Danio rerio: one gene and its partner. Each later gene encodes a partner of the first gene's protein in a complex. Links are inferred from orthologs where the notes say so. Each region holds a gene or a part of one and is shown in the gene's direction. Other genes may lie near its edges.

Region 1 (3,658 bases):
GACCAATAGATTTTTGCTCTTTAAATTTTGCTCTTTATTTTGCACTGATCCACATTATTTTTGTGTAAGTAAGGGGGTTGTCATATGAACACCCCAGACTGGAAACATAACCTTGTGCGACAATTTCATGTGTTGATGCATTTCAAAGTTCAAGCTCTGATCTGCGAATTCGCATCACATGATTTTGTAAGACCAATAGCAGTTCACTGTACAGAAATGCAGACTAGAATCGCTCTTATTATCAACGCAACATAATCTTTTACTAATCTGCCTATTTCACTACGACGACCACAGAATTTTATATGTTCAAACTCTTGTGACTGTGGCTTAAATGCATAATTTTTATTCTCAAAAAATAAATGAACGCATGTTATGAGTGAGCAGTAAAGCAAGCAAATGAAAAGAATGTGAATGACAAATGCATTTTTGATGATAATGTGGGTTGATTTGGTACAACATGGCAAAGTATGAATGCCTTGTTTTGTTGTCCTTTCTCACTTAATTTCCTATAAAGCCATGTTCGGTCTGCAGGTTGTGACTTTTGTAAGTGTTCTTTTGTGGCTGCAGATATGCAGGAGCTCCATTTCTGAGTATGGGACACCATACTTGGCAATAGGTCATGATATTTCAGCTTCTTTTCTCTTTGAAAAGCACAAACTGTAGTTTATAATCTTCAAAAACCAGCACTGTCAATTACTCATTGTGGCAAATCTTCCTAATGTTTATATTGGTGTGTGTGTGTGTTGTGTGTGTTGTGTGTGTTACATGTATCACGCATAAACACGCCTTTTAAACTTGACAAAAACTCTCGACAACCTTCATTGGCTGCTGTGTCTTTAATATGGTGTAAAGATTATTATGCGTTATTGAAACATCAAAGAGGACGCAGCAAAGAAAAGTCACTTAGAAATTAAAACTTTATTATTTTATGCAACACCCTTACATTTAAAGGGGAAGCAGAAGGGTGATCTTAAGCAAAACGACCCGCGGCCCATAAGGCTATATGTTTTCTTTCCCTTATTTATTTATTTATTTGCTTATTTGGCGCATTTACTCGTGTGCGATCGGAAAACTAGTGTAATGACGGCATGCCTTCTTTACCAGACTCGGGCAAAGTCCGCCTCTCCTTTCACTCCGCCTCGAAGCCCCAGCTGGCCCTCTTTAGCCCAAGGTATTCAGCTTGACAATATATTAGATTTCTTTATGGAGCCAAGAAAAGCATCCTACTAAATATCAATGCACCGAAATAGATGATCATTTGCATAATTGCAAATATTTCTTAGACAGCCAAATTTCACTATCGTGACAGACTTGGTGATCAGATTAATTAAAACGCATGTTAAGTTTAGAAGTATAAATTAGGCCTTCAAGCCCACTTTAACTTAAACTGAGCTTTACTGATGGTCAATTTGTACTACAGGGAAACCAGTTGCGGTGACTAGTAATCGTGGTCCAGGCCGTGTTGCTCAGCGCCCTGGTGCAAACCCTCAGCTTGAGTTTCAGTATTACCAGAATAAACAGAAACATTACAGGAAAGGTGAGCCCAGATTTTTAAAGAAATATGTTGTCACAAAATTCAGAATTAATTTATTAGAGGTTTTTGCAAGTTTGTAACTAGCCGACCTTTGTCCTTTTTGTGCTTTAGAGAAGACAGATGGGGATCTTGAGATGACCCCATCTCCACAGGATGGTGAAGTTCCCAGTAATGGAGTGCATGAAGACCTGGCTGCCCTTTCTATGGCAGAGATTGCCTCTTGTAGTTACGAGGCCAGGTAATTATTGCAAACCTGGCCACTTTCCTGCAACATGCTGCCCACAACAAAAAATTTCAATGTTTCATATCTGCCCATTTTGAGATTTTTCTACATGTAAATAACAAATTCCACATGGTTTTAATATTTTTCAGCACCAACCAAATATCACTATTGTCTAAAATATTTAATGTAGGCAGGACATTTTTAGTTCATCATAATGCCATTTGTTACAGATTACATGTACTATGGTTTGTTCCATGAGCTTATTGTGGCTTTATCTATAGCTGTCATTTTAATGCTTGTTTAATCTTACTTTATGTCATTTAAGTAAAAACAATATAAGTATATGAATTATTATAGATGGCTTTAAAGCAAATAGAAATGTTGGGCTTGAATAAAACGCCATAAAACATTTGAGTTTTTTAAAACTGTGTGCCTTCTAGCAGAAGATTTTTTTTTAAAAATGATGATTTGAAAAACTGTCCTCACTCTCTTTTACAGGCAGGCTGGTGTGCGAAATGGCATGTTCTTTGGTAGGGCCAAGCAGCTGTGTCCAGATCTGCAGTCTGTTCCATATGACTTCCATGCTTATAAAGAGGTGGCTCTGGCCATGTATGAGATCCTGGCCAGGTACCAGTTGTAATGCTTCATTACTGTCTTTATTCTTAAACTCAGCAGATGAGTACAGAAGTTCTCTTGCTTATTGTTTGCCTATTTTACAGTTACACTCATAACATTGAGGCGCTGAGCTGTGACGAGGCACTGGTTGATGCCACAGCTCTTCTGGTTGAGCTGGGGGTGTCTCCTGATGAACTGGCACGGTCCATCCGTGAAGACATAAAGGAGAAGACTGGCTGCTGTGCCTCAGTTGGAATGAGTAAAAGACTTTATTAATCACCCTTATTTTTTTTCGAATTGGTTACTTTTTTGTTCTTCCATCAAACTCAAAAAGAGATATGCATAACAATGTGTTAGTCAAACTTTTAATGTCCTAAATCTTATGAACTGTCTTTGGTTAACGCTTCTAAAGTTATTCATTTTAAAAGTCATACAGAGCCTTGCAACAATATTGTCATGAATACAGAATCAACTTTTCTTTTCTCTAAAAGGACTTTAATATCAGTGTGTCTATTTATAATGCAGTTGCTGGTGCAGGTTTATCTCTGATAATAATGCTTATGCTTTTTAACAGGTTCCAACATCCTACTTGCTCGGATGGCAACCCGTAAGGCTAAACCCAAAGGGCAGTATTTACTCAGATCAGAGGAAGTGGATGATTTTATTAGAGACCAGCCTGTGTCCAGTTTACCTGGTGAGAACAGAGCATCCTACACTTTCATCCAAAAGATCAAAACAATTCTAACACTCAAACTTACATTGTATTGTGTAATATTGTTACAATTGAAGATATCCGTTTTCTGTTGTAATTTATTTTATAATATTGTTTATTCGTGGGATGGCAAAGTTGAACTTTTCATGACCCACTACTCATGTTAATAAACATTTCATAAAGCAGCTTAACATACTGTACATTTAAGTTCTAGCAAATTAAAAACCGCTTCAGTCCAGTTTTCACAGATAATGTTGTGTTTAATGTAAAGTAAAGTAAATTTTACAACTATAGATTTGTTAATTATAGAGCTACAGGTTGTTGTGAACATTAAATAACTCAAAGGAAAATGGTGAAGAGCACTAAACCAGAAAACTATTTACTTTAGTATCATGTCACAAATCAGATCTGACGCTCAATACTGTTGTGGAAACTATCTAAAATTTAAACAAGATTCTTTGACAAATAGTAAGGGGGAAAATGAATTTATTAGAAACCTTTTGATGAATATGTAAATGTTTTTACTGTAAGGCTGGGCAATTTGGCTCATAGTCAAAATCTCGACACGGTTAAT
Region 2 (3,658 bases), on another chromosome or scaffold:
CCAAATGAAAATCTTTCTCTCTATTAGGGTTCAAATTTGCGATGACTCCACAAATCATGTTCTGAAATGTTGTTCCTGGTCATTGTAATTTAAACTCAACATTGCAAATCCTGCGATGCGACTATTTCATTTGCGCACATTGCGATATTTATGCTAAAACTATATATTGTGCAGCCCTAGTCTTTACTTTAATATTTGAGTAAACATGTTGACTAAAATATTAAGTAAATGAACTAGTTGCATATTTATACAAATTAAGTTTACTTAACTGTTCCAAGTTACAATGGGTTTGCTCTGTTTTGGGGGGTAAATTCAACTTGTCACTTTGAGCAACAAATTTACTCACTTTTTAAAGTAAAATAATTATTCAATTGCTTTTTAAAGTATGCGTTATTGTCATGAAAAAAAATCCACAATGCAAAAAATCATAAATTTCATGATATAAAATACATAGGGCCCTATCATACACCCGGCGCAGTGTGGTGCAACGCGCGGCGCAATAGTCTTTTGGTAGTTTCAGCTTGGCGCAAGAGTTGTTTTAAGGCGTTGCACTACGCTTTTTAAATAGCAAATGCATTAGCGCTCATTTGTGCGCCCATAGGCGTTGTGGTCTAAAAAGAGAGGCGTTCTGAGGCGGACCGCTGGCACGTCGCTATTTTGAGAAACTATAATAGATTTTTCATTAGACCAAAACTAACCCGGTCTAAACTCCGGCACTGCTTAATACGCACAAGAGAGCAATAGGCAAATATCTTTACATATGAAAAAATGTAAATATTAAGGATATATATAGGATATAATAAGAATAGATATAGGATATAAATATAAATGATTAAAATATTACAAAACATATTATTTTCTAGCCTACATAAATATGAAAAATCACTGCTTTTATGTCTTCTTCATCTCGGGAGGCTTTTTCAGTTCATTCATAACAATTTGCTTTTGTATAATGTTATTATTATTAGCAGTATTATTTATTATATCCATATTTATATTTGTTTTATTATAAACAAGCTTAGATTTGCCCACCTGTCAGGTTTTAGACCATATGGGGCACAGCATGTGTTTTATATGGATATAACTTTTTTGAGCACATTTTGTTATTATTGTTCATTTATTCGTTTGCTGGAAATTAGAACTGAATTTAGAAATAGTTTTGAAACGAATATTTGCGCTTAACAAACAAAAGTATTTATTTATAGGTTAATTGATGTCTGTGCGTAAAGGTTTCCCTTTCCAAAGTAGTTCCATTATCTCTCATTCTCACGCAGTAGATGCTCTGTTTAACAGTTTACTGTTAAAAAACTGTTAACTGTGAACTGTTTGCTAGTGAAATGCTCATTTTTCCACTTAGACTTACTTTGCGTCCTGTAAATAGCGAATGCGCTCTTGGTGCGACGCAGCTGGCTTTTAAAGGGAATGGGAGATGAGACTCTAATTGGTTTATTCTCAAAACACACCTATAACTCATTAAGAAAATAAACTCAACCCATTTAGACCATGCGCCATAGTGCAAAGCGCATTTTCCCGTCCGTAAATTACCATCTACCATCTATGATTATCAATTGAACATCACAGTTGAACAACTGAAAGTAAAACACACATTGCCTAAAATGAACAGTCACTCTTTTTCTTATAAAATTGTGAAAATAAATAACTTGCTCTTTTGGAAATAAATTAATTTATTTTCAATGTTTTTCATTGACAAGATTCTTCATTGACAAGATACATTCTAGACAAGATATAGTACTTCATTTAAATAAAATAACCCTTGCATATCTTGTAAATTAAATTTTAAACTGTGCATTTCGTAAATCTTCTGTGAACAAATATTTTAATGTAAATAATAATTCTAATGTAATGGAAAATATGCTGTCTCAAGGCAAAGGCTGCGCCGTACCATACGCTCGACACAGAAGTATAAATCAGCCTTAACAGAGCGGATTCACGTGACACGTCACAGATGCTGTTGTGAAACTAATAGAAAAAAACAACCTGGAAAAGTTAGATTTTAGATTTCGATTACTTTTCAATTAATCGCCCAGCCCTAACATTTAGTACACAAAACTTGTATAAAATTAAATGCCTGTTTTATTTGTCCATTTTCTTACCTGTTCAGTTAAGTATCATTACTGAAGAGTTTTCACTCCACAGGTGGACAGACTGACAGGTGACCTGGAGAGGAGTCGAGAGCTGGGTCGTGTGATCGTTCACGTGGACATGGATGCATTCTATGCTGCTGTAGAAATGAGAGACTGTCCGGAGCTGAAGGACAAACCGATGGCAGTGGGATCCATGAGCATGTTGGTAAATATCTGAAACGGACTTAACTGATTAACTTAACTGAACACCATTACACATCCACAGTGCTGACATCAGAGCTGCAAGAGTTTGAATGTAAAGCATAACAAAATAACCAAAAGTCTTCTAGAGGTTCTGTTTTAGCCATCTATCTGTAACGTGTAATGTATTGAAAAATATCTACCCTGGTGAACACCTTCACATATTCATCTTTCGTTTGTTTAAATATAATTTTGAATTAAAGGTGCAGTACGTAAGTTTGCCACCCAGTGGTTGAACTTGGTATTGTATTCTAAATCAAAACAAACTCGAGCGCAGGTTGCCAGATTGAGGACCAAAAGGAAGCTTCTATTTCTTGCAGCTGAACAACAGAAAACTGACAATGATCACCTCAGGCACAACTCGTGTGCTTTATTCAGTGTTAAATGCTAACAATATGAGTTTAAATGCCATTTTGCATGACAATTATTGCCATACTACTGAAAGCAGCAGCAGATCTTGAAAATAAAATAAACCATTTGAAATTGAACTTTAGAACTCATGATTCAGTACATTTAATAATGGTAAAGAGGTTTAATATGTATTAAATAGATTATAAACCTTACCATTTCATGATTAAGTGCATATTTTGTGCCTGTAAATGGCTGTATTTAAATTAATGTCGTGTTTTGTTTGGTGCAAACAGCCAAATTGCATATCACTGCAAGTCAGGTCACATAGCTTGTTGTTAGGACATGAAGTTACAATGCTCAGCTAATGTTTACGCTCGTAATATTTATATTATTTGCTTATTAATAACCTCATGTGGAAAAAGCACGATTTCAAAGCAGATTAATTGACTTCAGCATTGTTTTTCAGAAAAACAGCCATGTTCTCTTAGTATGTTTCTTAAATATCTGCAAACATATTATGGTGTTTTTATGCTTTAGGAGAGTCAAAACTTTCATACAGCACTTTTGATAATACAACAACTCACTCATAAAGACTTCATGTGCCATTACTAGAATCTTTTAAAGTAATTATTCAGTGACAAATTCATTTTTGATGGTCGCTTGTCGCCAGTTGAGCAGCCATCAATGGTAATTTTAATCTTCACCATGAACATCAGTGTTTACATCCCAAACAGAGATAAATACATATATGGTAATGGTGACCATTTATTAAGATTAAGTGTGTTTGAATCAAGATATTGTAACGATTAATCATGCTGCTCTAGTTGACGTTATAATCTTTTATTCTTTTCAGTCAACCTCCAATTATCATGCCAGAAGGTTTGGTGTCCGTGCTGCCATGCCCGGATTCATTGCTAAAAAGCTCTGTCCGGATCTAGTCATTGTCCCAACTAACTTTGACA

Evidence for each region. Proteins that work in one complex are often made in the same cells at the same time.
Region 2: the proteins of rev1 (region 1) and polk are in contact, whole or in part, in an NMR structure (PDB 2LSI), measured with the Homo sapiens proteins. The link is inferred for Danio rerio from reciprocal best matches to the Homo sapiens genes REV1 and POLK. Residues at the interface, in NP_057400.1 of Homo sapiens: Asn1158, Leu1159, Ala1160, Gly1161, Ala1162, Asp1167, Leu1171, Leu1172, Glu1174, Trp1175, Thr1178, Ile1179, Met1183, Glu1185, Asp1186, Gln1189, Val1190; in NP_001374042.1 of Homo sapiens: Lys564, Lys565, Ser566, Phe567, Phe568, Asp569, Lys571, Arg572, Arg575.

What each region holds. Positions count from the first base shown.
Region 1 is NC_133184.1:23,421,729-23,425,386, forward strand, and holds part of rev1 (DNA repair protein REV1), read left to right. Parts: intron 1-1,420; coding exon 1,421-1,537; intron 1,538-1,645; coding exon 1,646-1,772; intron 1,773-2,255; coding exon 2,256-2,384; intron 2,385-2,476; coding exon 2,477-2,631; intron 2,632-2,946; coding exon 2,947-3,066; intron 3,067-3,658. UniProt on the Homo sapiens protein: Deoxycytidyl transferase involved in DNA repair. Transfers a dCMP residue from dCTP to the 3'-end of a DNA primer in a template-dependent reaction.
Region 2 is NC_133180.1:46,859,315-46,862,972, forward strand, and holds part of polk (DNA polymerase kappa), read left to right. Parts: intron 1-2,157; coding exon 2,158-2,310; intron 2,311-3,549; coding exon 3,550-3,658. UniProt on the Homo sapiens protein: DNA polymerase specifically involved in DNA repair. Plays an important role in translesion synthesis, where the normal high-fidelity DNA polymerases cannot proceed and DNA synthesis stalls.